3 linked regions of the Arabidopsis thaliana genome follow. The protein of the gene in region 2 interacts with the protein of the main gene of each other region in a pairwise test. Each region holds a gene or a part of one and is shown on either strand. Other genes may lie near its edges.

Region 1 (10,831 bases), on a different chromosome or scaffold from region 2:
AGCCGTAATCACTATGCCACACGTGTTTCTGTACTAATATGACTTATAGTAGTTAGTTATACAGAAAAGCATACTACATATTCTATGAGATTGAATCCGAATCTAAAATCCTCTACTCAAAGAAAATGAGATGTTGCTCATCCGATTCATTCGAAACTTACGTGATCGACACTTTTGAATTGAGTATTAGAAGGAGAAGTCAAAATGTAAACACGATTAGTATGTCTGCCACAAATAAAAGGTAGGAAGTACATTACCATTGACATTGTTGTCTCTTCCATTAATATACATCATCCCAACCTACGGCTCAAATGGTAACAACTTGGAATCTTTAGAGAGAATAATCCGGACGCATTTTATAGAAGAAGAATCAAGGTCGTTTTCAAATGTTCAATCACGCTAATGTTCAAGCAGTGGAAGACACATTTGACGTCTCAGTCTCTTTGGACAAGACTTTGTGTTCGTTATATGTTTATATCCAACCAAACCGCCACATGATTTTGTAATTTTGTTATATGTCATAAACAAAAACTCTCTTTTATATTTGTCTGTTTCGATTAAAGATACAAATTAAAAGATGACCACTTAAAACCCCTCTTTTCTCTTCCCTACTAAAATCTTGTTTTTTTCTTCTGATGAATAATGACTCAGGGTTTATAATAATGTTATGACTATGTCACATGTATATAATAGTGAATTACACAAGGGGTTGATTTCACTGCCCACCTGTATCATCTTCAGCAGATTTCTTGTATTCAGGTTTAAGCTCATATGTCCCTTGGTTCGATCCTCTCTTATTGTACACGCACAGCTCGTTTAGTATTTCTTTCAGGAACTGAGCTGGCTGGTCCGTCTCTTGTACAAGCTGCTTCAATGTCCAGTTAGGCTGGCCTTCAAATAGCTTGAACATTATAGCTTCAAGCTCACCACGATCTCTCCTCGTCCTCTTCACCTCGGTTTGCTTGACTGGGGGAGGTTTCCTCTTTTCCTGCTCATTCAAACACAAACACAAACTTCTACAATCGTAAGGCTGATCAGGCAAAGGAAAGATAAAAATTTGGATTGAGTATTGAAGCTGGATTGTTGGTTGCTTCACTAACTCTTTACCATTTCAATGATTACACCATATATGCAAAATCATTGAGAAGAGAATAACATTTTTACCTTGGAATTGGAGGAAACTAAACCAAGCATTCCAGGCATGGGCCTCATATGAACTCCGCGGTCATTATCAATAACCTTTAGCGCAAATTCAAGGAAGAAAAGTCCTTACACTTAAGAGCCAGTATAGGAGAAGCAAAGGAAAACAAACACCTGAATGTGAAAATATAAAACAGACCTGAATCTGTCGATTTTTAACCATGGCTTTGCTCGTTCTCTCACGACAAAGCCTAGCATATTCTTCAATGGTTTCACCATATGGCTTCATATCGAATTTGTGATCAACCTTTCCTTCAGCAGCTGCACAACCTAGAGTAGCTTGCCAAGTATGAGAATAAAAGCAAACGAAGAAACAAAAATCTAATGTATTCAATCAGAACAAAGTAAAATCCAAACCTTGATTAACATCGGAAAAGCCCCCCATCGGAACAAAGTCTGTGAACATGTTCAAAGCGTAGCACTTTGGCATGTTCCCATACTCAGCACCAACCATATACATTTTGAACTGATTAATACCAAAACAAAGGTAATAAGTTGCAAGAAGAATAATCCACCCCTAAGCTAGGTTTTGAAAATCAACCACATGGGTAGTGAAATTGGCATGAAAGATTCAAACTTTTTCAAGCTCCCGACACAAGTAATGTAATTTCAACACTCAATTTCATAAAAACGGACTAATCAATCAACAATCTAGGGTTTGAGCTAAAACTCAAAATTTAAGAACCAAATTACCTCGGGGGGAGAATCGTCCCGTAGAGGATCAACTTCGCGAACAATCTTTGCCATGTCGGGAGGAGAATCCGAGGAAGCAAAAGAAGAAGACGACGAAGCTGCTATCTTGTGCCATGCCTTGTCTACAACTACAGGACACTTCATCAACCAAATCGATCTATCACTTTTCTCTATATCGAGATTATGAATATCTTCCATCGTTACTCTCTCTCTTCTCCAAAGTCAATCTTCTTTCTCTTGTCGCAGTTTCTTTACTTCTCTTGAGCTCTGTCTGATCTTCCGATTTCGTTTTGACTTAAAACCTAAGTCTTCTTACTTTGAAGCGGAGGTGAAAAAAAAGGAATCCCATCTCATATGACCCGACCCGTTACTATATACGTGGACCGACTTGGGCGTTAAAACAAATAGGCCAAGGCCCATATTATTGTAAGAATCCAGTTTCTTTAATGGGCCGTTTGTTATTCGCAAAAACATATATTTCTTGTTGCCACATTTTGAATTGTTTTATTTTCTAAAGTATAGATGACATGATTAATAGGGGTATATGTATGTCCATACTGCATACATAAACACATGTAGAGCATGCATGGATCATGGATGTATGGTGCATGTATAAATGTATTAAATTTAAATGGATCACATACATATTGTTTGGACTTTTGGACCACTATTGTGCTGATAAAGAGTAAAGAGAACACCAAGGTTGTTGTTGACAAAAAAGGAAACAAAATACCGAGGATGGAAATGGATTGGCGATTAGGACAACGACAATGAATTAATTCTTAGAAAGAACTTAACTAAATCCATGAGAAAACCCTAACCACTAGTTTCACTCAGTTGCTTCAATGTACAAAGGGGGACCAATCTCTCATCTTTTCTCCTTTTGGTTATAGCTGTAACTGTAGTTGTAGCTAGGTTTATGGCCGTTGTATTTAGATTTTATGTTTGTTGGATATAGTTTTAACTTTTAGCTCTACACTTCTTATAAATAAAAGATTTACTCAGTTAGCTTCAGTGTACGTTGTTGTGTATGTATATCTTAATTATCAGTACGTAACACATTATCTAGATTTGATTTTTATTTTTTCAATACAGAGCATCAAATAGTAACATCATATATTAATAACTATTTTCAGAGGTATACTTCGAAAAATGTTCGAACTAGCCATGAATCTTTTGAATAAAAATCATCTCAAATGGACAGAGAAAGATTTACGTGGAGCCAAATCATCTCAGGGAAAAACTGAAGTTGGGTTGTGATTTGTGAAAAACTGTTATTTATCCCCATTTACGAATTCCGTTCACATGGTCACTATCTAATGACGCGTTGGAAGATTTAATGATTTTTGTAAAGGAAATTGAGGTAAAAGAAAAGAAACTGTCATATCAATCATAATCGAGTTAGGTATAAGTATAACAGATGTTGAGGAAAATCTTTGTTCGGAATTAGTCTTTCACTTTGACCATAGACTTTACAATTTCACAAATGATGTGTCTTGGACGATCTTCATGCTTCTCAACAATTTAATTTCCCTTTCTCCAGCATATTTAATTAACAATTTACTTGCTAACTATCTCAGAAAAAACTATTATTTCAAACTTAACCTACCGTGTATTTTAATGGCAATTAATGACAATGCCAAACATTTGACCTGTGAGGATGACTGAGTACTTACCATTGGAACCACATGCACGTCATCGGTACGTAATAAAGAAGAAAAAAAATATCAAATATATAATTCACATTAGTTATAATAAGTTATGGCTAGAGAGAAGTTCTATATAGTTCCAAAAAAAACCCATATATAGGTTTAATACCATGAGGCTGTAGGGTTTTTGCGAAACAAGAAGTTAGATAGATTAAGTAAAATATCAGAGGAGATATGATCATGAGTTTTTGGATCAACTACATTTAATTTTTATAATAATTTTGATCGAGAGAGACTGAAGAAGAGATCACATGCCGTGAGTCAGACACTCTACAGTTTTTGAGAAACTTCCATCTATCTCCTCTGTCATTTATACTTGTCCTAAATCAAGCAATCTATAACAGTACTGTTAATAGTACTAGCTAATCATTATTATTGTTAACAGTATCAGTTCACACATAGATAAAACAAATTATTATATCATCTCATTAGAAAAACGAAATCAATTTTAGTTTCATCATATGTCTTAATCAGTCATTTGTATATATATATATACTGCATCGACCAGTTTTTATTCTGTAAGACAGAATTAGTAAATGGGGATTAGCTACAGACGACTGATAGTCACATCCATGATCCATGCAAGTAATAATTAAATAGCTAAAAATATGATAATTCTGCAGGGAAGTAGTTTGATATAAATACTTTATATTACCATCCGTTTACATTCATCTACGCCAACATTTCACATGTTACGTATTTACTCACAATCTGACGTTCTCCACATAACTAACGTTAACCTCCTATATTATTGTAGACAGGGGTTGAATCTAGATGGAATGACACGATATTATCTAAGTAAAAACCTGTCCATGAGACTAGAGGTCTTTTTCAAAATATTTATGTAGATTTTTGGATTATTCAACTATGACTCAAACCAGAGAAAGATATAAACAAGCTAAATTTAAGTGCATAAATATAATTTAAAGCCGCCCAGGACCAGTTTTTAACTAAACTTTTTCCATCTTTTCTCAGTTGTTGGGTATATATATATTACAATTGAGAACTAATTTTAACATCTTTCACTCTGGAGAAATTCAATTGGGTAATATAAAAATTGCTTGAAGTTTACTAAGTATATGTTTTTTTTCAAATCTTTGATCAGTGGAACACGAAACCTAGTTAAGTCATGTTTAGATCCGGCAAGCAAACGGATAAACGGGGAAAAAGGTAGCTTGGAGCTCAACACCAACCAGAAAGCTATTTCAATATCAAACCAAAAGATTTTTATTATTCTTTCTTTTCTAAAATAAGTATTTTTGATTTGACCTTGAAAAGTACTATATATAATTATATATGTCGTAAATCAATAAAAAGAGGGTTATATTATATATTAATTAATATCATAAGACTATAACTAAACCACATTTAAATTGCAACACAGAGATCGATCCTAATGAACAAAAATAAAGCAAAAGATTAATCTTTGAAACATGAACACTATCTTCTTTTCTTAAAAGTACGTACAATATGCATGTTAATCACCACTAAGTAACAACCTAGGTAAGGGTGTTTTTTCCAAATTGCACGAAGTTTCAAAAATAGATAAACGAAAACAAAAACAAAAACAAAAGAAATCCTCTTATTATTATAACGTTTAAAGATTAACAATAATCAATAACTGATATCAGAATCTGATCAAGACCTCGGAGGTGTGAAGAATGGCGTACCCGCGATGAAGGAGTTGAGTTGAGCTGGGTAAAGCGAAGAAGGATCAAGCATTAATCCATTATTATTGTTACCGGTGACAGTCTTAGTGGCGGTCTCCTCCACATTGGTGGTGGTTGCAGTGGAAGCAAGTAGGTTAAGGTGATGATTATCTTGATGTTCTGGTCCTTGGTCATAGAGAATGCCTTTGAAGATATGGCCTCCAATGTTCACAGCCGTTTGGTAAGCATATGCTTGATCATCTTCATCCTCTTCTATTGAGCTCACTCTAACGCACCGGAATATCGCCGGTGAGTTAACCTCCGGTGGTAAGTGTTGACTCACCTCCAACCCTAATTTTTTTATTAATGATTATAAGATCACCAAAATATAAACATGAGATTTGTTTTTAGCCCCTTTTAGTATAACATGTTGTTGATTATAAAGCGTAGCTCCCATTTCATATCTACAAAAACGAATCTTTATTGCATTGTTTTTACATGAAATCGATCTTGGTTAGATCCTTTTATGTCGTCAGGTTTACTAAGGAACAGTAACTTGTATAAATAAAGCAGCAATATCCGGCGGACATCCTCATTCACACGCAAATGATGTTGTACTTCTCCACAAACATTCATAATTAAAACTTTGACACTTTTTCATGAAAATTTAATCAATCTTGAAAGCTAATTCAATATCATCAAGAATTTTACCTGAATTAGAATTAGCATTCACCACACGGGTATTAGCAAGAGCCGATCCACCACCACCACTATGGTCTTTATCATCATTATTATCACCACCACTAGCTTCTCGAAGGCGTTTGGCGTTTTGCGTTTCACGGCTGGAGGCTGAGTGGTGCTGCAAGGAAGCGAGTTGGGCTAAACGCTCACGACGTTTAGCAGCAGGAACCCAAGTGCTCTTAACGTGAGTTTGACAATGAAAGCCTCGGCTTTTACAACAAGTTCTACATCTCATATGAGGACAATCTTTCTTAGCTTGATTTCCACAATCTTGACAATTCATACCTCCTTGTCTCGTCACCGTGAACCCTCCCGGCTCATGATCGGAGACTACGTTGAAGTATAAACTCCGGCTACGGTTATTGTTGTTGTTGCTGCTGCTTCCGCTAGGAACCATTCCAAATGAGTAGAAGTTTGCAGGAGCTGAGGCATGTTGTTGCTGTTGTTGTTGTTGTTGATGTTCTTGTTGTTGGAAGTATTGCGGAGGCCAAATCTCGAAACCCTTGTTGTTATTATAGATCTCGTCTTTGTAAAGATAAAGATAATTGCTCTTGTCTTGATGATGATGATCCTTGTCTACTTGATGATGATCTTGCTTGTTGTTGTTGCTGTTGTTGTCTCTCCCTCCTAGATAGAAGAACCCTGCCATTTCTTTCCCCAGTGGTAATCAACATCACACACCCAACACACCACAAAGAGAAATCAAAGAAAAGGGTAAATCTTGATTTGATTTCCTTTTCTTTGCTATAAAGATTGACGGTAGATGATGAGGAAGCTTAAGAAACTGCAAACGCCGCCATGGAATTAGTCTTTCTTCATCACTTAAGATAACTCAAGTTTGATCTCTGAAAGTGGAAGTTTGCTGGATTTACTCGGTGGATTAAGAGAGAGAGAGAGAGAAAAAAAGTTTTTAAGACATAGAGAGTCCCATGAAGATCTTTTGCTTTGGGCACTTCACTACAGTTATCTTCCAGTTTGAGTGAATCCCCATCACATAAATATCACTCAAACTATTGTTGAAAAAAAAAGAAAAAAAAAGGAATATGGATAAATAGATAGGTGACATTTTTTAAGTAATTTTGTTAGAGTAATCATTCCATTCCATTAATATGTATATATGCTTATTCTCTACATTTTTCATAGGTATTTTCATAATCCCTTATTACAATCTAATTAATACATGTAAGATGATAAAAATTAAATGACGCGTTGTTTTCTTTACTATGTAGGAAGTCATTTTTTTGTCCACAGATGCAAATTATATATCTAATCGATGGTTTTAGGATTCAAAACAATATGCATGAAGGAGTATAAAATATATTACGCCGAACCAACGTATCGAATTTAATAATGACTCGTTTTCGTTTTAGTAGATTTTAAAAATTTAAGATGTGTTAATTAAAAGAAATTTCTTAGCGAAAATGTTGTTTCTTTTAAAACTAAACTAGAAAATAGAAAATAGCTCGCTTTTTAAGCTCATAGTGTTAATTTTTATCAATGGTGAATAGAGTGCCACGTGTTAGAACAGGGAGTTTTTCTCCACTCGTCCCTCCCCCGCAAAACCCTCCCCACCGTTTATCTTTTTACTTCGGTTTATCTATTTTGTGATGAAATTATATATGGGAAGTTTGAGAAAACAAAAAAGGCAAAGATAAAAGTCTGAAATAAAGAAAAAGGAAAAAAAAAATGAAATCTGAGAAAAAATGAAAAGGATAGTCTAACGTCACATTCCTTTGACATTTTATCGTCACGGACGGTCTCATCGTGAGGTTTACCGCTTAATCACGGCGATTAGACTTTCAATGACATAACTTTTTCAACGACGCCTTCGTGCGTTAATTTTTCCTTTTTTGATAATTTTGTTATTTATTCGTCTAATCAGAAATACGTGGTATTAACATTGAATCGACATGAAGAGGGCGATCGTAGAAACTTAAACACTTTTTGAATATGAACTATAAGAAAACTATGTGGTGTGTGAAAAAAAAACAAAAAAAAAACTATGTGGTTTGTTTTAAGGGATTTTTGCTGGACAGCGATCCCTAGTCTAGTTCTAGGTCACGAGTCATTATTATTAGCCGACGAAGGGATGTGATCGTCTTCCATCTTTACCCAAACTAATACATGAATATAATGTATTATTTCTGTATTCAGGTTTTTAGCTTTTTTTTTTTTTTTTTTTTTTTTTTTTTTTTAAAGGTTTTTAGCTTATTCCAATCGAAGTAGAAAACTTAGCTTTCACGTTAATACAGTACTATATAGTTTCAAATTTTGGAAAAATATATAACTAAACGGGATATGAGGGTTATTTAGCTTATTTTGCTCGTTTTACAAATTAAAACTATAAATATGTACACACACATAATTGCATAAACATGAGAATAGTTAAGAGTACATAAAAACCGTTAGTGGTTTATCTTAAACTAGCTACTATTAATTATACCAACTAATTAAATATTTTATACTATCACGTAATTGGTCGTACATAAATCTGCGAATTTAAAATTTAAATCACTAAAGGATTTACTTATTCAGTCATACCTTGTACCCTCATTAGAGCCGAAGCAGGCAGACCCACTCTAGTTTCTTTGATCACGTGGAATCGCGGGAATTAGCGGCGCAATTTGCATTTTATAATCATAATTAGGCGCATTTGGTATTTAATTTTAAAGTTTATATCTCTGATGGTTCGCCTTTTCTTTATCCTAAATGTTGTGCATGTACAGTATATAAGTATATGGTCTATTCAAAGTTTGAAAAATATTTAAAGATATTTCATATTTGTAATCGACGACCAACCCACATACCTTAAACTCTTAATAACACTCGCATTACTTCAAAACTGATTACCAATTTTCATATCCTAATTTTTGCCATCGCATGATCTCAAATTTAACTTGTGAATTATATTTATTTCAAAATTTACGAGTCTATTCCACCTTGTATTGCCAATCGTTGACGACTTCTCATGCATATTCATAATAAGCAGGTCACGAGAGTAAGATTTTACTTCTCCAATTCTCATAGCTAGATTTGATCAAATCTTCGGTATCGACGAGCCAATTAATACACAACCAATTTCTCAAGATAAAGTCTCTTACCTATATTACTAGCTAATCCTTGAAGATGAGATGTGCGATTGACAAAAAAAAAAAAAAAATGAGTTATGCATGTTGTAAGGATTTGCGTATTTAATTGTTTTTGGTGAGCAAATGCTTCTTTATGAACCAAGCAAGTACTTTAAAATCTTGGCTGTGAAGTATTTTTGTCGCTTTATAAAAAAGGCATACTTATTGGATTTAGAGAAACAAACGTACAAAATGAAGGCAATGTGAGTTTTCTTGGAATAGTTCTTAGAGATTTTTAACTCTCTCAAATCACTCAAATGTGAATTTAAATTTAAAGTATTCAATTTGTTTCAAAGTCTTTACATGTTTTTGTGTTCACTTTGCCAATCACCTATATCATCAACCATTAATTTGGGTTCGCTCCATAAAATATGGTTATCAAAAACGATATGCATCGGAAACAATACGTAAAAATATCAAAAAGAAAACAATTTATAGTTTTCAGACAATATTAGATGTCAAAGAAAAATCATTATTGAAATGCGTTTGTAGGACAAAAAATAAAAACAAAAACAAAAATCTGTTCAATCAAAAAAAGGAAAAAAAGAAAAAAAAAAAAAAGAGAGAGAGAGAAAAGAAAGCCCAATCCCATCCCAAACATCTGTGTCTAGAAAAAAGGAGAATTTTCTTAACATAATACGACTTAAATTTGTTAAGCTTTAGTAAACAACAATTATATATGCGTGTATCTATAGAAAGGTTGATCGTACGTATTAGTTACCCACCCAAAAAATGGACTTGATCTTATTTAAGGGCCCGAGGCATGAGTCTTTTGTATTTTAGAATTTCTTGTTGACTAAATCACTATTTTGTCTTTATTTGTAAATGTAATTACTTAACACTCCTAACTTTGATGAATCGGGATCTTCATGATTAAACTAGTTGGCTAATGTCCCTTTTGTCTTTGTTCTTTACTTTAGTTTTCCTTTGGCTAACATTATTAAGTTTTTTTTCCTTTTCATTTTTTGACATTTTGACGGGGTTAATAGCTACCACTGATTTACTTTTTGGCGGTTGATATTTCTCTAAGGAGACAGGCATAGCTAATTCACGTTTGATATAGATGCATGTTTCCCAATTATATCTTATTATCTTAATTTATGTTATTTTAACTCAATTTACAAACAACAAAAAATGCTATTGTAGTCATGCGTAGGCAATGAAGTTATCCAACATGTTCAAATGATTAACATTGTCATCCAACACTCTTATTTTTTTTCTAAAAACACCACAAACACTATCATTCCATTTTAAAGGATACATCTAATGTTTCTTTTTTAATTTATAAAAATGTGTATATTTTTCCGAGAGTTAGCTTCAATTCACAGTAAAGCCAATAAAGGTTTAGCTAATGCCGAAGCAATGCCCAGCATTATTCAGCCATAGATCACAATGACGAAATACTATTTAATATCAGATTGTGGGCATTGGTGTTCATTGGCATGGTTATCAGAGGTGATCTATTTTTTTTTCCTTTTTTAGCCGAGGTGTTCTCGGTTGTTATAATTATGATTCTTTCTATTACTAGATTTTGTCACCTCCCACAAGTCAGACAGAGAGTGAGGAGCAAAGGTCATCGTAGGGGAAAAATCAAGAATAAGGATTAGCTCCAATAGTCCAATTATTATTTAGTTGTTGTCTTTCACTCTCGAGCCTTGTGCTCACCTTTCTTCTCGCTGCATCTCCTCTCTCTCTCTCTCCTATATAGTAC
Region 2 (11,230 bases):
AGATCATTGAAGAAAATGAAGCTCATGTCCTTATTGACGTTTGTTTGCTGATTTTAATTCTTAGATTTGTGAGGAAAATGGAATATAAGTTTTAGGTCAGTTGATTTAGACTTTTATCTGAATCAGTTTACCTAATCATCTCTAAAGCATTTAGCTAAGGTTGTTTGTTCTTAATGCTTTATGGTCAAATGTTTGTAAGCTTTTTAGGCATAATATAAGGCCGGATTCATTTTGGTAAAGACGAGGATACAATAGCTTCGAATGTGTGGCCATGTTTCGCTAAGCGATCATCAACTTGATTTGTCTTTTGGTATGTGAAAGAAAAGGAGGTTCCATCAAACATCTTTCAGCTCACTTGAAAATTATTTGAAATGTCTTTCATACATTTATGATCTATCAATGAATACAAATGAACTACTATTTTTCTCTTCAAATAATTATTCTCTTTCTGTTGACATTATGAAATTTAGAAGTTTTCACAATAATCAAAAGTAATATAAAACGTCGAAAATATATTTATCTTTATATGACCACTTGATGATGAAGACTCAAACCAACAAAAAACTAGTGTTTGTTTTATTTCCGTGGTCAAATGTAATAATATATTTCTGTGTGTATTAGGTGATATTTAGAATTTTTGTATAATTTCCAAAACAAGAAAATACTTCAAATAAATTTCATATTAATCTTATCAAAACATATCTTTCATATTTTATATGACCATTATTGGATGAAGAAGAGTCAAACCAAATATGAACTAGAGTAGTAGAGTTCAATTTTTTTTTTTGACAACAATGTTTTCTTTTTCTGGTCAAATAAATAAACCTTTTTTGTTCATATTAAGGTGAAAGAAAATTAGAAATTATGAACAAATGTTTTAAAAATAATATAAATATCTAGATCATATTGCATATATTTCATTTACCAATGTTAAAGATTTGTGTATATATAGAAAAGAAATCTTCAACAAAATTAAACTGCTAAGAAATTATTAAAAAAATGTAAAAGAAGGAAAAATATCTAAAACATGAAGCCAGAGAAACGAAATAGGAGTATTAATTAATTAAAGAAACAAACTCAATTAATTAATTCAATGGAAACCGCTAAATTATTAACCGTTCGCCATAATTAAAATTTAAGAGACACACACCTTAAACCTCACCTATATATTTTCCATGCAAAAAAAAAAAAGACAACAATTTCAACCATCATGAACATTACTAAACTCACTCCTTGGTTTCTTTTCTCGTGTCTGATTCTTCTATCAGGTATTATTAGTCTATAACTTTCATTTTCTTCTTCTTGATCTGTTTAATGTATGTATCGTATATCAAATTACAGCAATTAATTTGTATTAAATCAGTTTCATCGATTAATTTCTTTTTCCTTTTGATATACGTGCTAGACTACATAAAGGTAAACAGCTCAATTTCTCCATCTAGCGAGCAAACACAAGAAGATGGCTTTTTTGGTTTCAAACCTACAAAGTTGTTTGTGTTCGGAGACTCGTATGCAGACACTGGAAACACACCTTTCCTGATCGTTCCCTCGTGGAGGTTTCCCAATGGAATCACTTTCCCGGGAATACCTACCGGGCGGTTTAGTGATGGTCGTGTTTCCACTGATTATCTCGGTACGTTTGAACTATAATGTTTTGTTTGGTAATCTGTCACAATATCTGAGTCTGTAAGATTTATAATATTGTAAACAGATTGCAAAGCTCAGTGAAAAACTCTTAGATTAGATATGTCTTAGCTGTACATTTGCATTGCATCTCTTATATAATGAAACGCAAGTCAATAAATTTTGTTCATTATAATTTGTTTTAAATGTTGACCATATAAGTATTTAGTTTAACGTTTTCACTCTCTCAAAATGCAAGATATCTCTAGTTTAACGTAAATCGGTTGCCAACAGTAATTATACCCTATATATAGAAAACATATATTATGCAATAAATCTTATAGTTTGACTTATATTGTAACATGTAGCGAAGTATATTGGAGTTAGAACGCCGATCACATACAAATGGGGGAAATACGGACGACCGAGACTAGCTGTGAAAAGAGGAATGAATTTCGCATATGGTGGAGCCGGCGCGTTTGAGACAATGTTCAAATTAGTTCCTACCGCTAGTGTGCAGATTGATTCCTTTGAACAACTCCTCATGAGAAACGTTTATTCACCGGCCGATCTCAACTCTTCCGTCGCTTTCTTTAGCATCATCGGCAATGACTACCTTACTTACGACAGACGTAATGGTTCTGAAGAGGTACAATATACCTTTTCTTTTCCCACTAGGGTTGATCAAAATTGATTACTGGTTGACCATTTTTGATCCATATATTATATAAGTTAACATTTTCGATTTCTTTTGAAAATATAAAATCTGGCAGGGTCGTTCAGCACTCACAAGGAAAGTAGTGAAACAGATTTTGTTGGATGTGAAGCGAATTAAGGATTTAGGAGTAAGAAAGGTGTTAGTGGCTTTATCACCACCGCAGAAATGTTTGCCGAAGCTTGTCACTCCTAAAGGCTGCGACACCAACGACACCTCGACGTACCTCCACAACAGTCTTCTCCGCAAAGGACTGATAAAACTAAACGATAAGGAGATTAACAATAATGATAAAAGTTTCATGACGTTAGATCTCTACAATGCCTTTGTGACCATATTCAAGAACAAAGGAGTTTCAGGTACGTAAGATATATACCAACACTGTATATGACCAAACATAACCGATCACGTCTTTGATAGATTAAACAGAAATACATATACCTAAATAGATGGGATATATAATATAAATGTTTAAATTTGGGCAGGAGTTTCGACATTTCCGGATCCGTTTAAGGCATGTTGTGCAACAAAACGAGGTACCTTTTGTGGAGATAGAAGCTTGAGTGGTAAAAAGTTGTACACTCTTTGCGATGATCCAAAATCATTCTTCTTTTGGGACAATGTTCATATCAGTGATCAAGGATGGCGTTCTGTTTTTTCTCTTCTTCTTCCTGATTCACAGTTTTAAATCAACTAGATCAATATGCAATAATTCTCCATTCTAATGATATATGATGATTATCAATTGTCTTCATAACAATGCATACAAAGATTATTTCAATACCCACTTAAATAATAATTATTAGCTAGAGACTCTAGTCTAGAGTCAAAACCAAGGGCCACAAAGAACAAATCAAAGTTTTAGGTGCGAATTGTCAAAACTAAAATAGTGGGGCATTATACGAAAGAACCAAGAATACAGGGAGAAGTAGACAAAGAATCTTGCAAAGTCTTCTTTCTGTGTTTGATTCTCATCAAAGACTTCACTTTTGTTCTTTGTCGCTTCAATTCAACGCTTATTCCTAAATTCGATTTTGCGTTGTCAAATTCCTTAAATTTCGTTACAAAGGTTTGATATTTCCGATGAGATCTCCAGCAAAGACGATGCCGTCGATGTCACCTTCTTCAGTTTCCACGGAGAAATCTCCACCTCCGTCAGATACTTCAATGGCTATAGTAGCTTTCGATAACTCCACTACTCACTTCTCTTCTTCTCCATCGCCGCCACATTCTCTTGATCATTCCAGTGAATCGGAGAAGGAAGATGCGAAAAGTAAACCCGAGAGTAGAAGAAACAAGAATCCTGGAAAGGTTGAGGAAACTCCATCTCCGATTGTGGTGGTTCATAATCACAATCGCTCTGTGAAAGAAGTGGTTCCGACGAGAAAGAGTGCGAGAGTTGGTTCTGGGAGAAGTAGTGGCCAACGATCTGGAGCTGTTTCGGCTATTTTGAGAAGGTCTAGGAGAGAAGAGGTGGTAAAGTTTTCAGCTTTAGGGTTTCGGTTGAGTGAGGTTGTGTTGGCTTTGATATCTTTCTCAATTATGGCTGCTGATAAAACTAAAGGTTGGAGTGGTGATTCTTTCGATCGTTACAAGGAGTACAGGTAATTATTTGTTGTGTTTGTGCTTATTTCTTCGCAGATAGTGATGTTTCTTGAATTTAGGTTCAGGGTTTATTTTAGGGTTTAGGGTTTTATCAGTATCACTAGTGTTGGTTTTTTGATAAGAAATTTGGATTACTTTAGTTTTAGTACATGTGAATTGTCTTTAACACTTGCGTGGTCCAAGTCTATGTTTTGGTTGAACTTGGTGAAGTCCTTAAAAGAAGTAAAGTTTGTTCCTTTTGACATTGATTTTGATTTGTTGGATCGTAAGAATTCATTTGCAGTTTCCATTTTGTTGTTTTGGTCAAACATTTGAAGTCAGTTTAGTATGATTTGATTTTTGATTTTGAGACTAAACTGATTTATCTATGTGTCATCTTCTGATATCTGTGACAGGTTTTGCCTGTCTGTGAACGTGGTTGCTTTTGTATATTCTAGTTTTCAAGCATGTGACTTAGCGTACCATCTTGTCAAAGAGAAGCATTTGATCAGCCACCACCTTCGACCTCTGTTTGAGTTCATTATAGATCAGGCAAGTCATTAACACTTATGCTGTACTCTCGATGGTATTCCTTTGTTACTTTCGTTCTTGTATGAAGTATGATCTACGTGGTTGCATCTAGGTGATGAGAAAAACTTGGCTATAGATAATTCCTGATACTTTGACTTGCACCATCTGCTGGTATTTACCCTGTCTCCTGTGAATCAAAGAACAACACTTTGTGGTTAAAGTCCAATATTGTTACTCTTTTTCTTTATGCTTTAGCTTATAGCATATGTGGAAAGGGATTTATCTTATAGGTCGGAAAACATGGTGAAAGTGACTGTTATACTTGTTTGACCAAACTACTCCCTTCATTACATAATTGAAATCTCTTTCGTCCCCTGCAAAACATTTCAAAAGCATGTGTAAAAACAGATGGAATTATGAATAAGAAAGGTTTGTTTTGTTTGTGCAATCAGGTACTTGCATATCTGCTTATGTCTGCCTCAACAGCAGCAGTCACTCGCGTTGATGATTGGGTTTCAAACTGGGGAAAAGACGAGTTCACAGAGATGGCAAGTGCCTCGATTGCTATGTCCTTCCTGGCCTTCCTTGCCTTTGCTTTCAGTTCCCTCATTTCAGGCTATAACCTATTTAACCAAGGCTCTCTCTGATCCTCCCACCTTTTTGTATAGGTCCACACTCCTTGTGTGATGTATAATAAAAATGATCAATATATCTTAGCATTGTAATTATTATACTATTTTTGTAGCCTATATAAAGGTTTCCAAAAACTATGAGGTTAATAAGAGAGGCATATCCTGTTGTCAAAAGGGTCTTTATAGCCAACTAAATAAAGACTCTGACAGAGCAAAAGGCAACAACTTTTCAGCTCTTGAGCCATATGAGTGTCCTCGATTGTAAATGAGACCTCAGACTTATCCATTGTGCATCTTGAACCCTGAAGAAGGAAGAAGAAACCATCTTGCACAAGCCCAATGTTTAAAAATGGAAAAGGGTATTTTAGTCATTTACGTTTTCGACACTCGGACTTCCTAGTTCCTACGCCTGGAGAATATCAATAGCCGCCAAAGGATTGATCGTGCTTTTGCTTCGTATCGTCTCTGGGTTTTTAAATAGAGAGACTCGAGAGACTCTGTTTGACAATAGGGTTTTGAGCTTTCTGAGAGTTTTATATAACTTGACAAAGTTTTGATCTTTCATCACCGATCAATGGTTGGTACGAAGAGAGTTGCTGATTCCATCGACACCAACTCGGATGACACACTCACGAGGAACCGTGAGGTTGAAGTTGAGGCGATGCTCAGTAGGAGAAAGCAACTAAGGACAACAACGACGAGGACAACAACGACGAGGACAACACCATTGAGCTTGTCTTCCTCTGCTTCAAAGATGAACTGGTCTAAAAACGATGAGCTTGTCATTCTCGGGGTTAGTTAGTAAATTCTTTGCAGCTTCTCTATATTCTTCTTTATCCTCTTCTAACTTTTTTTACTCTATTTTGTGTGTGTGTGTAAAAGGGTATTGTGGACTATGAGAATGAAACGAAATTGAGCTATAGATCTGACTGGGATGCCTTGTACCGTTATATCAAAGATTGTGTAGAAGCAAAGTTTTCGAAGATTCAGCTCATCAATAAGGTCAAGAACATGAAGAGAAAGTTTACATACAATCAGGGGAGATCTAACCATGGGGAACAACTTTCTTTTACTAATACTGATGATGATGAAATCTTCAAATTGTCATTGATCATATGGGACAAGAATGAATCAGAGTATGTTTCTAATGAGAATATAGACCAAGCTAAGGTGAGTGTCTTTGTTCTGTTTTTCAACAATCTCTTAGACTACTAATGTGCAATGAATTAATGATCTTGTTTTCTTGATTTGCATAAGGATGTTCCTTCTGGTGAGCCAGAGACTAATGATGTGCCTTGTGAGGAGCAAGACGATAGGGATGTGCCTTGTGAGGAGCAAGAGCGAGCGAATATCGAGATTGATAATGGTGTGAGAGAGAAATTGGACCAAGCCAAGGTGAGTGTGTTAGTTCTGTTTTTTCTACCAATCTCCTTGTTACCATCTTAAAACATGATGTAAAAAATTGTGTTACTAATGATGTGCAATGAATTAATGATCTTGTTTTCTTGTTTTGAATAAGGATGTTCCTTGTGTGGAGCAAGAGAGTGAGGATGTGCCTTGTGTGGAGCAAGAGCGGGTGAGTATAGAGATTGATAATGGTGAGAAAGAGAAATTGGACCAAACCATGGTGAGTGTGTTTGTTCTGTTTCTACCGATCTTCTTATTACCACCTCAAAACATGATTTATTGATCTTGGTTTCTTGTTTTGAGTAAGGATTGTGAGGAGCAAGAGAATACGGATGTGCTTTGTGAGGAGAAAGGCGATAAGGATGTACCTTGTGAGGAGCAAGAGAATAAGGATGTGCCTTGTGAGGAGCAAGAGCGGGTGAGTATCGAGATTGATAATGGTGAGGAAGAGATGAGTAGCGAAGAAGATGGTGTGGATGAGGTAGGTGTTATGGAGGACACACTTGATTCTGGGATATCGTTTCAAGGTTTAGGTAAAAATGGTGTGAAAGACAAGAGTGAAGAAGATGATGTGGTTGAGTTGGGTGTTCTCCAGGAGATATTTAAGGAGGATACATTTTTTCAAAGTTTAGGTAGATATCAACAAAAATTGCTGCTTCAGAATTTGGAAAACGTTGGAGTTGAAAGAAGAAAAGAGCTCATCAACGAATGGAAGGCATTGTTTGTTGATGAGCAGCGATTGTGTGTCAAGAAACTAACTTTCGCCGCAAAGCTTGCAAACTTAGGAGTTTCTCCTTGATTCAATGAAGAAAAATCTCTGCTTTTGGAATGATCTCATTTTTTTTTGGTTGTGTCATATTGATAAGAAAAAACATGATGTATCCACGATCCGTTCTTGTTCTAGAGCCAGGTAACTGAGGTAAGTAACAGTTAGAGCTAACCATAGCAGATTCTCCTTTTTTTAGTGTTGTGTTTGTTTCGACTCTTCCTTTTGGGTTGGGCTTCGATAACGATTGTTCAGGCCCACTAACATTCTTTTCTTATTGTGCGTCTGTCTCTTTCGAGAAAAAGACACAAGCACTTAAAGCCAAGATTCGCATTTTGCCACATGCCACTAATTTCACCTTGTGTTAGATATTATTTTTGTACTACACACTCAACGAAGACCATAGATCAACTCAAAATATTTATTACACAACAATTATCGGAGAAGAGATTGATGTGAAATGTAATGAAGACGAAAAGAAAATAAAAAAAGAAACGACGAATTTGGACGTAATTTTCAGCCAAAACATATGCTTTGGGTCCCACACTTTCACATTTCAACTTTATCATCACACCGAAACACTAAACACCAAAATCCCCGACAAATTTAAAGAAAATTTTTCCATTTTTTTTTTTTACTCTATCTCTGTGAGAGATTCTCTTCAAGCTCAGGCCTTTAGGCTTTAGGTTTCTTTTGGGAGTCTTCTTGAGCTCTGTAATCACTCTCTAGAAGCTTATTTTGCCTCCTAATGTTATTAGGTACGTCTTTGTATCTGTACTTGCTTCTGCATTTTTCGATATTTGTTTCTTTTGATGAGATTTGGGGACTCTTCCTTCAGAAGGATTTGAAGATTTTGACATCTTCCATTAAAAGTTGAATCTTTACTTAAGCTAGTGTTCTTAGCATTCTGTTTATGTTAGCTTCATGAGATCTGGGATCTCGAGGCTGCTTTTTTTTTTTGCTTTGATTTCACATTTAATGGGTTTTGATTACATTTTCATTAGGTGAAGTGAGTTGAACTTGGCTTGTGGTTTTGATGAATTTCTTTCTATTAAAAGTTTTGGTTTCCCTACCAAAAAAATGTCTTCTTTTTGTTAATTAAAGTCTAAAAGTAGCTAATCTCTATCTGTACTTGTGTAGGGTTCATCATTTGAGTCTATAACTATAATGACTTTCACTGTTCATTTCCTTTTTAAATCTCTTGTTGTTTCCCTTTCCTTACTTTGTTCATCATTTCTCCTTCCCTTTACTCAATAGACACTGCTCTTCCTTTGGATTATTGCTCTGTGAGTTATTTAAAATAAGCCATAAGGTCTCTTCTTATGATTGTTGCAGGGTGTTGTACTGGAATTATTAGGATGAACCAAGGAAGATGAGTCTCTCGGTCTTTCAAAAACCAAGTCTTGTAATGAGGAGCTGTCCACTGTTGTAAAGTAAGTCATTAAGATGGAATCCTTTGCAGGTTCTTGTGAAATTGTTGAGGAGAAGGATGCGGTAAGGTTAGCCAAACATTCTAGCAGATATTGTATGTCACCTTTGGGATCAAGTAAAGATATGGAGCAGCGTCCTGCATTGAAGTCAGGGTACCAAGGTTCTATGGAGTATGACATTGATCAGCTTTTCCAGTCTATAACTATAAAACCATCACCTAGAAGAGTGATGGGCTCTTCTTTCCATCATCTTGAGACGAGCGCAAGTGCTGGTACGAGCAGGAGCACAAGCCCTTCAAATAAAGGCGCTATGAAAAAGCCCTTTCCCATGGGAACCCCTCGATCACCAAGAGTTGGTCCCTCTGATTCAATATCTCTGAAGCAGGCTCTGAGAGATCTTTGCATCTCCAAGGCATCAGAAATGGCTTCCCAGAAACGTTTATCAAAATCTGCAGCTGCATCTCCGAGGGTTTCTGAAGCAGACAGGATAAAGACTCTTTACAGACAAGTTTTGAATGAATCTGCTGGCAAGCCTGGGCTTCCTGTGGACAAGGGTAAAAGCTTGGTTGAAATATCTTTGACGCCGGTAGTCGATATACCCAGCTCCTCCCAGAGTGTACCTCAGCGGTATGATGTCCTTGAGACAGAGCCATCTAACTTCATTTCTGAACCATCTCAGGCTGAAATCCTTCTCCACGTACTTGGAAATGGGTCGGGAATAAAGACAGTGGGATATGGAATGCTGGAGACTGTATCACTGTGTAAATCCAACAAATCTGGATCTTGTCTCAGTTCTGGCAGTGGAGATTATGAGATAGAGATAGATGAAAATCATACATCTCCTCCTCATATGGTCATTGAAGATCAATTAGTGGAAATCGACAAACATGTTACCTCGCTGCCTTCTTGTTCTGGCAGCAAAGTTGATACTGAAGAGCTAGACAAGAGCATCGTCTCATCAGCTAGAGTGAAAAGTGAGCCAACAGCTTTGAGCTCAGGGTTAAAAGGAAAGTTGGATAACTTTCCTGGTTCAGGAACAGAGAAGAGCAAACTGGTAAGCAAGGTGACAAGAAATATCCCACGTCCCAAACCGCGGCCGAAGAAGAAGATATTGCTTAAAAAGAAGCTAAAAATCGTTGTAAATTCTGCTACAAAAATGGTTGAGGAAGTCGATACTTCCTTAGAGCCTAGTGCAAGTCAACTTCTGTGCCAGAAGTGCCACTGTGCGGTAAAGAGCACCAGCACTGAAAACCACCCGCCCTCGAATACTAGTCATACTACTGATAAAAATGTCAGTATAGAAGCAGATCAAGAATCACTCGCAAGCCCGCGTCTCATTCGCATTGTGAAGTGTAATAAAGAGGCCAGCAAGGGTTCCTCGGATTCTTGTGAGGTTAGTGATAGCGGTGAAGCTGTCATTGTCATGAAACAAGAAGTCTCTCCAAGCAATTATAGTGGAAAAGGTGATGCAGATGAACAGATAAGAGCGAATCCAACTTCCAGTGAAAAATTTGATTTCTCGTTGAGCTCAAAGAATAGCCTAGGGGACTATAGCAGCAGCACAAGCATGAGTGAGGAGAGCAATCTGAGCAGGTTTAGCTGTGGCAATAAACCTCACATGTCTATGGATGTGAGATGGGAAGCAGTTAAGCATGTAAAGTTGCAGTATGGCTCTTTAGGACTGCGACATTTCAACCTTTTGAAAAAGCTTGGTTGTGGAGATATTGGAACTGTCTATCTTGCTGAGCTGGTTGGTACAAACTGCCTGTTTGCCATCAAGGTCATGGACAACGAGTTCTTGGCCCGAAGGAAAAAGACACCAAGAGCACAGGCAGAACGGGCAATCCTTAAAATGTTGGACCATCCTTTTCTGCCTACCTTGTATGCGCAATTTACTTCAGATAATTTATCGTGTCTGGTGATGGAGTATTGTCCTGGTGGTGATCTTCATGTCCTAAGGCAGAAACAGCTCAGCAGGTGTTTCTCCGAACCCGCAACTAGGTAAGATCACATTTCACATTGTTGTTATGAATTTGTAATGCTCACAAAGTCTTTGTTGGTTAGAAAATTCAGTGGTAATAATATACAGTAAAATTGATGATATTGTTGACAGGTTCTATGTAGCAGAAATCCTCCTTGCGCTGGAGTACTTACACATGCTTGGTGTTATATACCGAGATTTGAAACCAGAGAACATTCTAGTCCGAGAAGATGGTCACATCATGCTTACAGATTTTGACCTCTCACTCAGATGTGCGGTGAACCCGACTCTTCTCAGATCAACTTCTCCACCCGAGAAAGATCCCGCAAGGATGTCCGGTCCATACAGCACATCGAATTGCATACAACCTCTATGTATTGAACCATCATGTCGGGTCCCATGTTTCAGCCCTAGGCTCTTATCAACCCAAGCAAGAAACCAAAAACCAAGAAAACCGAAAAGGCCTGATCTTTTGACACAGCAGTTCAGATCATTGCCTCAGCTTGTGGCTGAACCAACCGAAGCAAGATCAAATTCGTTTGTGGGAACGCACGAGTACTT
Region 3 (10,846 bases), on a different chromosome or scaffold from region 2:
TATTTAGTTTATCAGTATCTTTTGTCCGATATTTATTTTGGTTTTTTCCTGTGTCTTTAATTGGATTTATGGTTTATTCTAGTTTTAGAGCTCTCATCATGCCTTTAATTTTTTTTTTTTTGCAGATGTATCGAACTGTTAAGACCACTAACAAGCCTGCTGCTTCATCAGGTACGTGTGATTCCTTTACACACACACACACATATAATGTTATGCATATTCACATTTCTTTAGTATAGCTTTTTTCAGCTTTATATATGCTAAAGAAATGGTACTGGCTTTTAATAAGAAAGATATACAATTCACCAAAAAATAACATAAGACAGATATACAATAAAGCTTAGGATTCTCCACCAGAATTTTATAGAAATGGAGGTCCAATATAATCACTATTATAGCTTTTTTTGACTACAATATTTATAAGAAATTAGTTCTCAATCAGAATTTGAAGCTGTGATTCGATATTTGTATGTATGTAGAGATATAATGACGTGAAATTATTTCTGTTATTTTTACTATTTGATTCTACTATTTCTACTATTCCCTTTCCCCAAAATAATAAAAAACGAGCCCTAAGATATTGGTCAAGCTCAAGGCTTTTATCCTTCCTTTGATTGAACCCTAAAGTTGAGTGGTCAAAGTTCAAAGCAAACCAAACAAACATATATCCCCAATATTGATGTTCTCTAAGAAAAAAAAATCGAGTAAAAGATTAAATTTAAAACGTGTGAAGTGTAAACTCATATCCAAGCAAAGTTCATGAATTAAGAATAAAGAAAAACCACTTGTTTCATATGGATTTTCTTTAACCAATTAAAAGTTTATTTGGCACAATTTTCGAGTCTGTAAAACTATTTTTTGAGACACATATTAGGTTGGTCAACACGAAATGCTGAAATTATTTTTTAAGAAAAACAATTTCTTCACTGCATTGTCTTTTACAAAAAAGCTTACAAGAATCGTTCAGTTTTAAATGAGATTCCTTATAGGGTATAAGTGATTGATTTGAGACAACGAAACTTGATAAAAAGTTAAAATAAAATTTCAGATGGGTCAGGAGAAGAAGAAATGGGCATAAATGGAAACGAAGTTCATCATCAATCATCGACGGATCAAAGGGCACAATCTGATGATACTTCTCTTCATCAAGAAACTGACATTTCTTCCACACAACCTCGTTGGAGTAACTCTTCACGGTACGTTTACGTATATACGTACATGTATTATACACACGATAAGTATATATAAACATTAGGTAAGAATAAGATTGACGAAATTTGAGATAGGGTTTAGGGTTCTCTCACCTAATTGTTCCTACTTCCTACCAAGTAATTCATACGACAATTGTTTGGTTTATCCCACATCTATCCATTTTCTTCTAACAAAAATAGTTTTTAGATGATATTTTAAGTTTGTTTTCGTTCAGTTTAAGGGGAAAAAATTTGAGTGATGGTTTTGGTTACAATGAGATGAAATTGGTTAGGGTTTATGGCTGATGAACTTTAATTATATGTACCAAGTTTTTTTTTTTAATTATAATTTGGTTTGGGTTCTTAAGATTCATCTAGGAAGACTAGGATAAACGAATTTTGCTTCATAAGTATGACATGTAGATTGTGGTCATATAGCAAGTTGCAAAAAAACGCAATTTGTGTGTAGTGATTTTTATTTTATTTTTAGGGCATCTATACATCAATAAATACAATTTGTCCTTAATTTGTTTTCTTTCTTTTCTTAAATCATAAAATAGAGAGACATGGCCATTAAGTAATAACTGCTCAAGCGACATAGATACAATGATCAGAACTTCATCAACATCAATGATCTCTCATTATCAAAGATCCAGCATTCAAAATCAGGTTCTGATAATTCCCATCTAATCATATTTGTATAGATAGATATTGCCTTTCTTAGTGTTTTTTTTGTCCTTTAATCTAATATAAAGTTAAAATTGGCAGGAGCAAAGGTCGAATGATCAAGCAAAGAGGTGTGGAAATCTTAGTTGTGAAAATCCAAGTTTGGAGTTTACATTAGGCAGACCAGATTGGCACGAGAAATGACTTTCTTGATCAATTTGGATTTTTATATATATTGGATTTTTTATTTTTTTGTTTCATCTTTCTCTCTCTATATATACTCAGAAACATGTATGCAGTATATATCTTTGTGACGATGAAATTCTCAGCGTAAAAGAAGGAGAACACGTAGAGAGCCAAGCTGCTCAAGAGTGTTGATTTTTGCACAGAGAGAGAGAATATCACTACCAAAATGAAGAAATTTGGAGGTTCCTCTTCTCAAGTTCCATTGATGATTTGATTATAAAGTGGATGATCAATGTATGAGTTTTTGTTTTTGGGTTTTCGGGTTTTTAGTTTTTTGAGGTTGATCTGGTGGTGTGATCATAAGTTATATAATTGGAAGATCATCAAAATGTGGTGAAAGTTTGGATATTTTTTTGAAAGCCTCTTGGTTGGCTAGAGGGTTTCAAGTTTTTTTTTTTTTTTTTGCAGCCGAAATGTAGAGAGAGGGAGAGATCTGAGTTGAGATTTCATATGGATACTGATCATTATTCTTTCTTAAGTACATAAAACACACAATGTATGCATACATAGATCCAAAAATCCGTAGACATTGATCACAAAATGTTTCAAGTTGCATTTTGAAATATTCTTATCATTCTTTCTCTGCTTCTTCACAACAAACTCCATAGATCATATTTATATCAAGCTTCCATTAACAACCAAAAGTCGGGGTTTATTTACAAACGCGGTAAGGACGGATTCTCAGTTGGTTGATTCGATGTTTACCTCCCGGTCTTGGTGTTGATGACGACTGATAGTGTTACCTGAAATGGCTGATCCCACCACTGAAACCGATTGCTTAGCCAAGCGTAGGCTTCCTCTTGTTCCCAACCACACCGCATAGAAAAACCCAATCCAACCTGATCCAATACCAAATTCATTTCATTCTTCAATACATATAGGAAGTAACTTGGAGTGTCACTCATTACAAGATTCCAAAACAGAATCAGAGCAGAGTATATAACCAACCTGAAGCTATTAAGACAGAAACGACAGCAGAAACTGTAGCGGTAGAGATGACGAATGCAGCAACGGATAAGGCTCCAATGTAAACACCAGTCAAGCAGAGAAAGAAGAGTGCCAAGAAGCCACCAGCAACAGCAAGTGAAATCAGAAGAGAGATTATGATAGCATTGGCTGTTGCAGCTACAAAGAAGAGTGTGAATACAACCAAAGCCATTGTTGTCAAAAGAACTATTGTTCCCATCTGCAACAACAATAACAAGATAATAACTAATCAACATATAGTCTCAGACACCCACGAAATTTGGCTCAAATGGGTTCAATAAAGCACTAAACTTTTCAATAAAGTACCAAACTTTTCATCAATGGTAAAGAGTTACAGAACCAAGACGATTTAGGGCACAATACGTTAATTTACTTGAGGAAATCGAATTGAAGATAATGGAAGGCTAGATTGAAAATGAAATTCAGTCTCTAATTAGGTTCAATCATTCTACTTACAGTGATGACAAGCAGAGCACGAAGCGAGCTGCCTCTACGAGTCCAGAGAAGAATCTCGCGTCCTGTTCTTTCAGAAGCTTCTCGAAGCTTAGGCCCATTTTCAGCGACGGAGTTTCTTACACGTTCAAGAAACGAAGACGCATCACCGGTTTTCGAATCTGGAAACAGAATCGAACCGATCGTGAGACAAATCAAGGAATAGAGACTCTTCAAATCCTCATCATCTTCCTTCTCCACAGAGTCCGGTTTACGATAGCCATTCTTTGTTCCTCCGTTGACAATTTCGCCGACATCATCGCCACCGACAACGTCGGCAAAGGTTTTATTCTCCGTCTCGTCGTGATCTTGCGCCATTCTTGGAAATTAGAAACTAACCCAACAGTTGTTTCGATCGGATTTAGGAAGTAATAAGAGTAAGGAACAAAAGTTGAGATTTTTTATTAGTAATAGATAATGATTGCGGACAAAACAGCTGTTTAGTTTTATGTTAAAGGAGAAATCAGGGACATGTGTAGCACCGACGTGGCTTTAAACCCCCGTTAACCGGAGGAGTAGATAGATAGATACAACGAGCGTGTGTATTCAACGCGTTACACATGCGAGTGGTTAATTCTTTTTTCTTCTTCTTTTCATTATGGTTTTATTATTGGGCTTGTTAGACGTTTTTTGAAGGCCCGTTTAAGACCAAACTGTTTTTTTTTTTAATGCACAAACTGTTGCCAATAGAAAATTACAACAAAAGGCGAATCAGATTAGATCAGATATCATCTCTGTACATAAATGCTTACAAGATAAAGCAAAACAAATGTTACATATTGTTTCAAGATAGACAAAACACAGGGTTTTCAGTGCTGTGCATCAACAATGGTGTCTTTAGCAGAGGTTGTTTCAGGGAGTGATGTGGGTTTTGCTTCCACAGAAGAAGAGACTAGGAGATTCCTGAGCTCTGTGGTGATTGCAGTCTCTTGATGCAGAGATGATGAAGGAGAAGGAGATGCAGTATTGTTGTTGTAAGTGAAGACTCGCATCGGGTGATCAAATTTACAGCTTGGACCAAACTTGCAGATCCCATACCGAGAATAGAACACGCACAGTGGTTCTCCCTGTTTCAAACCAGCAACAAGAATTTACCAAACCACATAATGAGACTATAAAGGAAAGAATCTGAAGTCTTTTATTAGCTTACCGGGCGTAAAGGAAGGCCAACCGAGCTTAAGACACAATCAGGAGGAGGGGTTTGCCTGTCTCTAGGATGATGAAATTTGCAGACTGTTCCAAATTTGCAATCTCCTGTCTTCATGTAGAATTGGCATTCAGGTTGGCCTGGTCTTTCCGGGAATACATTCTCTCTAGGTAATGCATAGAACCCGAGCGGAACAGAATTTCCCGAATGAAACCCGGATGAGAAGAGACCTCCTTGAGATCCTGAAGCGAAACCAGAAGGATCTTGCAAACGAGGAGGGTTTGCAACAAAAGATGTTCTCGACCAAGAATAAGACGGTTGACCAGTTAGAGATTGAAGAGCAGAGTAAACCGGAGAGCCACGAACAGAAACCATCAAGTTGGTTGATTGAGTCTGAGGGTGATTGAATTTACAAGTTCCCCCAAATTTACATTGTCCAATTCTCAAAAAGTAAGAGCAATCATCTTCGTTCTGCAAACAGAACTCATGAGAGAGGCAAAATTTTACAAAGCAGTGGTGAGATTAGAAAGTTGAAATGTATACATACCGGACGTAGAGGATAGCTTAAGACATTAACTGATACACTTCCATCAATACCAGCTTTGTTCCTAGGATGATGAAACTTGCAAGTCACTCCGAATTTGCAGGTCCCTGTCTTCAGATAAAACTGCACAGACACAACAACAAAAATAGAAGCTTTGAGACAATGTGATAACTAGAAGACATTACTATGATAGTAATTCGAAACAGAGCTACCTCACATTCAGGCTGACCAATTCTTTCAGGGTATTCTCCTTTAATCCTTGCAGTTGCTATAACCTAGAAATTGGATACGAGACTATTCATCAGCTTGTAATCACACACACACACAGACCCTCAAAGCTACAAACTTTGAGTCAACAAGATACAGAGGAAAGAACAAACACAGAAACAGAGTCAGTACCAGTTTCCGGTCGTGAGGATGATTGAATCGGCAAGTTGAACCAAACCTACAAAGTCCAGTCCTTATATAATAAGCACAATCTGGCTCTCCGTGACGTTCCGGATAAGACCCATCAACACCCATTGTATCATCTGATCCCAAGTTCATTTGCCACATTGCATCTAAAATTCACAAACCCAACCAAAACCCCACAACAAAAATTCAAGCTGAGGTTTTTAAGATTGAATCAGAACATCAGAGAGGGAATAAAGGATGGTACTTTGGTTAAGCAATGGGGAAAGAAAAGTGCTTTCCCGAGAAATGGAATCAAAATCCATGGAGATGATGAAGAACAATGGCTGTGTCGGTGATTATTAAGCATTAAGAACACACCATAATTCTCTCACTCTAAGAGATTTTCCGATGGGAAGTCCCATCGTTTCTCTTGCTCCCAGGAATCGTCTTCCTCCGATTGTGGAGGGGTTAGAGGAAATGGCAATGCAGGAAGACATTAGAGAATTAGAGATCACGTCTAGAGAGAGAAAGCAGAGAGAGATTGGGAAGAAAGTGTTGCGTTCTCTTCTCTCCTCCACACAAAAGAAAGAAAAAAAACTAAAGAGATTCGGTAAGAAAAACGAATTCGAAAAGACTAAATTACCCCTTTTATCTTCATATTGATTCGGTTGAGGAGAAAGAATAATTTATTTCATAAATCCTGATTTGGTTAGTATGTATGATCATGAATCAAATAATAACAAGATTTTATTTGATCTCTAACCTGAATTTCGTTTCATTTATTCTTTTTTTTTTTTTGTTAACAAAAAAAGGGCTTATAATATTTAGTGTACGTATTAAAACAATTTTAGATCCGAACATGATGTATTTTCATTTATAGAGTTTTTATCTTTTCTTGATACGTATATGTGAACAAAATACTAAATTATGCATACTACGAAAATAAAGAGAGCTTAAGAAAGTATAAAATTAAGCATAAACTAGGTTAATTCATTCAGTTAATGGTTTTCATATCTCGAATATACTTCAAAATCTCCTTTAGGAGGAAAGTGTAAAAGAGATAACAAAAAAAAAAACTTGTGAAAGATGAACAAAGGGTAATATTGATGATATAATCGAATTTATTAGTTTAATCAATGAATAAACTCCAGAGCTGCGTAGTAGGCGACGAGCACAGGTAGAGAGACCAACATCCCAAATATCACCCTACATTTATCAAAATTTTAATTTAATTTCATATTACCATTTTCTTCTTAAATAGACTGAATTTTTAAAATTTGGACTTACGCTGTGCTTAGAACATCTGCATGTAATCCATATTCCTTAGCAAAAATGAACGAAGTAATCGATTGTGGCAAAGCAGCCTGTAAATTTCATATAAATATTAATGATATATTAAACTGAAAAATATAAAGTTAGTATCTTAGTGGATGAATGAATGGAAAATGATCTACTTTTTTTTTTATATACAAACTTCAGTAGAATTAGGGTACAAAAGGATAAAGTAGAATTTATGACCTGAATGATGGCTACGCGGAGGACATCACCGTGGAGGCCAAGGACAATAGAGCCGATGGCCATGGCCGCCGGTCCGGCAATAAACTTCAATACCATTCCCATCACAGTCAAGCTTGTTCCACATACTATCAACTTTTCTTGAAGTGCCATGAATATTCCTGCGTATATATGCATGTATTCACTGTTATCTCAATACTGATACGTAATCTTTACGTATAGAAAGATACTTGCATGGACATAAATAAACGTACCCATATTGAACATGGCCGTTCCTGTTCCTGCTTTTGACATTATAAGAATCGAACCCTCTAATATGCCCGGCAGCTCCAGATGCCATCTATATTTCCAATTAATTTCCATCAATTATTAGACTTAAGTCTTTATTTGTTAGCCAAGAGTATACAAAACACTAATCAAAACCCTAAACCCAAAATTCACACTAAAACAAATAAAATAGAAATTTGGTCAAAGACTCTAATATTCAGATTAAAATCATGATTAGTTTATTTGCATGTACATGTCACGTTTGCAAATTATGTTACCATGTTAAAAATGTCCTAGTCATTTGTCACATGGAAATATAAACGCAAATGCAAAGAAACAATCGTGACCTATATTTCTGTCAAAATTTTAACTATAGATCATCAGGCGCTACACAGAAAAGTAATAATTTAGATGGTTTAAACGTCAAACTATAGATATTTTTAGGCAATTTTAACGGTTGCCTCGGAGTAAGGGGTGGAATTAATGTAGTCTCCTGAGTCCCTGATCACACATACTAATTAACACTTTGTTAAACATCTTATAGGTACCAATATAAAGTTTAATTAAAGATTCATTTTTACCTGTTAGAAATAAAAGCCCATGCGATCCCAAGGATGCAAGAATAGCAATTTGGATTCGTTGCAAGCTTCAACCAAACGAGGGACATGACCTCAAGGAACGACTTCTCTCCCACAACCACAGTTTCTCTTTTTCCACTTTCGATATTGATGTTGTCTACTTGTACGTCGCTGATATTATTACTACTAAATCCGGCTTTTCTAAACTCTAAGACAAACAACAAGAGTGTGAGCCACACGATGGCTTGAAATACCGAGGATTGAACCACCAGATCAACAGCCTGTTGTCCGTACATTGCCTTAGCCAATGGCACACCAACGACAAGAGAGTTAGTAAGAGTGCATAGAGAGAAACTAGTAATGGACCAACAATAGCTTCCTTTGTTGCTATATTTGGCCCACAACGCTAAGACCGTGACTATGATGACCTTAGAGAGGACATCGGCCGCGATGAACCGGTAATTCATGTTGAACGGGTCGACATGGGCCGTGAACTCAATGGTGAAGAGCGGCAGGGTGAAATAGCAAACGAGACGGTTTATAGCATCACATTGATCACGCGTGAAGATGTGCCACCATTTCACAGAGCCATAGCCTAAGATTAAGGCTACATAGAGTGGAACCATTGCTTCGATTACCTTGTAAACATCTCCACAATTTATCATGGTTTTATCAGAAAAATAGAAATGTTGCAGTAGTAGCAAACGAAAGGAAAGAAAACAAAGCTTCTAAATTCGTTCGTAGATAGTAAATGTGTTACGATAGAGAAACCAACATGTTCATATTTATAGATAAATTTTTAATTGTTTTATTTGTTGTAGAAAAAAGATAGGTAATGAGATATCCATGAGTAATATTCAAACAAAAGTAAAGTTTAGATATAAATTAAACAATAATATTTTTTTCTTCGGAATATGATTACGAATATTTATAAATAATTTGGCTAAATTCCTATAGAATAGATACAATTGAAATTTGAGTCTAAATATTTAGATAAAAAAATTAAAATCAACCTCATATTTTTAGCCATTAGTTTAATTGAGAAACAAGAGAGTTATCGTTATCAATATAATTGACCAGACCGTGCCGTGGCATATGATTCTATTCCAATTGTTTCCTGTAAATAGTGAGTGTAGTGTTTGTGTATGACGTAAACATTTCTTTCAATATTTGACTATATTAATTAATGGTAATGTCGCAGAATAAAGAATGAGGTTGCAGCTTTAGCACCATAACTAGAAGATCGTCTCGACCAATATATGTTTTTGGCTGTCGTAACTCGTCGCCACAACACATGAGACTAACCAAATAATATATTTTCAATAATTTATTCGAAATATTTGCTTAATCGTTTTTTTCTTAATCTTAATATTTATATTTATTAACCACTTTCATAAAATGGGAGCAGAACTATGCTAGTGCATGTAATATAAGTAAAGTGCATGGAATAGTTTGTATATATGCCGAAATGGGTATTTGTGCCCTACGACCTGGCGATAGCAACCAATTTCATAACCGACAAAGAGAGATTTCTTATAAGAAAATGAATTTCACTTACTTATACCTAGTGATGATTTGAATGTTTCAATATATTCATGGTTTAAGAAATAACATGTCATGGGTTTTAGAATATGTTAATATATAGATAGATAGAGAAGTCTACAAATAACTTACTTACTTTTATCTTAAACCATGTTTTACGTTGTTTTTTATGTTTCGTTCGATAAAAAATCATATGGCCATGTCTTTCTTCTTTGTTAAAATATCAAAGAACCATATTATACTACGAGCTAGCGAAAAATCTATCATCGTGAGGATTGAGGAAGCCATTCAAGAACTACAAAAGTTTACAGAAAAATTTGTACCTCGTGCTCTTGTCCTTTCTTGCTAGACAACAAATTTATTATTTGCCTTCTGGACTCTAATATAATCACAACAACACATATTGCTAGGTGCAATATCATCATATTAGCACTTTTTAATTCTATGGTATATTTTTGTTTTGTAACCATATATATTGTCCATTCACAAAGTCTTTTCTATTACACATATTCATGATGAGAAAATTGATTTGATCTAATTACTAGAGAATCATGCAGAGGCATAAAATGATCTGGAAAGCATTTATTTATCATTTGATTTGATAATAACATTTTATGGAAACACCTATCTTTACCAAAGATTTGGAACAAATAGAAAAACATAAGCAAACAAATATATATAGTCGGACTAAAACAAAAACAAAAAGGGGGATTTGACTGATGGAACAAAAGTTAAAATCGGTGGATTAGAAATCTGTGAAAACGTGGAGGATGCTTATTCACTGGTGAAATTGAGGGATCATATATAAATATGAATAATAATGCTAGTAGAATAAGTTCTATTTATCACTTGATGATTACAAATCTATAATATGCTTTCAAATTTCTCTCCTGATGTGTTGATATATATTACAGTCTTTTTAATATCAAAAAGGTTTTTGTCTTCTCTCATTCATTCATTCATCGTTAATACTTTTGTTTTTGTGTGACATATTTTCATTATTCTTCTTGAATTATGTCAGAAATAGCTAGCTAGCACGATTGGAAAGTTTATTCAAAATCCATCTTATTTGTTTTGTACTTTTGACGTCATGAATATTATGTTGATGTTTTTTCCCAAACCACAAAAACAAAACAATCAAAGTTTTTCAGACCAGAAAACACTATATGTTGGGGTTTATACTGTTCTTCCTAAATTAGAGTTCGAATTCAAGAGTAGTGATCATATAACTTTCGTTTTCCTTTCAATCTTTCATAAACGAATCCAAGTACCAAGTTAA

The links.
Region 1: the proteins of AT2G36340 (region 2) and SRS5 interact in a two-hybrid assay, tested with the Arabidopsis thaliana proteins (one large-scale study listed by BioGRID).
Region 3: the proteins of AT2G36340 (region 2) and ZFN3 interact in a two-hybrid assay, tested with the Arabidopsis thaliana proteins (one large-scale study listed by BioGRID).

The regions. Positions count from the first base shown.
Region 1 is NC_003070.9:28,346,539-28,357,369, forward strand, and holds SRS5 (SHI-related sequence 5), read right to left. Parts: upstream 7,012-10,831; 5' UTR 6,642-7,011; coding exon 5,963-6,641; intron 5,603-5,962; coding exon 5,241-5,602; 3' UTR 4,984-5,240; downstream 1-4,983. Other genes in the region: AT1G75510 (Transcription initiation factor IIF, beta subunit), read right to left, coding at 716-988, 1,165-1,239, 1,340-1,470, 1,558-1,666, 1,894-2,091. UniProt on the Arabidopsis thaliana protein: Transcription activator that binds DNA on 5'-ACTCTAC-3' and promotes auxin homeostasis-regulating gene expression (e.g. YUC genes), as well as genes affecting stamen development, cell expansion and timing of flowering.
Region 2 is NC_003071.7:15,230,199-15,241,428, forward strand, and holds AT2G36340 (DNA-binding storekeeper protein-related transcriptional regulator), read left to right. Parts: upstream 1-5,288; 5' UTR 5,289-5,659; coding exon 5,660-5,878; intron 5,879-5,967; coding exon 5,968-6,255; intron 6,256-6,342; coding exon 6,343-6,480; intron 6,481-6,604; coding exon 6,605-6,712; intron 6,713-6,799; coding exon 6,800-7,291; 3' UTR 7,292-7,706; downstream 7,707-11,230. Other genes in the region: AT2G36325 (GDSL-like Lipase/Acylhydrolase superfamily protein), read left to right, coding at 1,211-1,268, 1,406-1,633, 1,992-2,272, 2,397-2,697, 2,824-3,026; AT2G36330 (Uncharacterized protein family (UPF0497)), read left to right, coding at 3,422-3,942, 4,339-4,474, 4,906-5,100; AT2G36350 (Protein kinase superfamily protein), read left to right, coding at 8,705-10,689, 10,802-11,230. UniProt on the Arabidopsis thaliana protein: Probable transcription factor. Involved in stress responses. Plays a repressive role in cell expansion by counteracting the positive role of CPR5 in this process, but does not regulate cell proliferation or endoreduplication.
Region 3 is NC_003076.8:5,398,579-5,409,424, reverse strand, and holds ZFN3 (zinc finger nuclease 3), read right to left. Parts: upstream 6,357-10,846; 5' UTR 5,989-6,356; coding exon 5,931-5,988; exon of another isoform or gene 5,833-5,930; coding exon 5,672-5,832; intron 5,548-5,671; coding exon 5,485-5,547; intron 5,396-5,484; coding exon 5,276-5,395; intron 5,200-5,275; coding exon 4,732-5,199; coding exon of another isoform or gene 4,723-4,731; exon of another isoform or gene 4,649-4,722; coding exon 4,391-4,648; 3' UTR 4,252-4,390; downstream 1-4,251. Other genes in the region: KAN (Homeodomain-like superfamily protein), read left to right, coding at 126-171, 1,049-1,196, 1,751-1,859, 1,959-2,060; AT5G16550 (voltage-dependent L-type calcium channel subunit), read right to left, coding at 2,784-2,941, 3,051-3,288, 3,546-3,899; PIN5 (Auxin efflux carrier family protein), read right to left, coding at 6,799-6,871, 6,953-7,029, 7,184-7,341, 7,435-7,520, 8,029-8,690.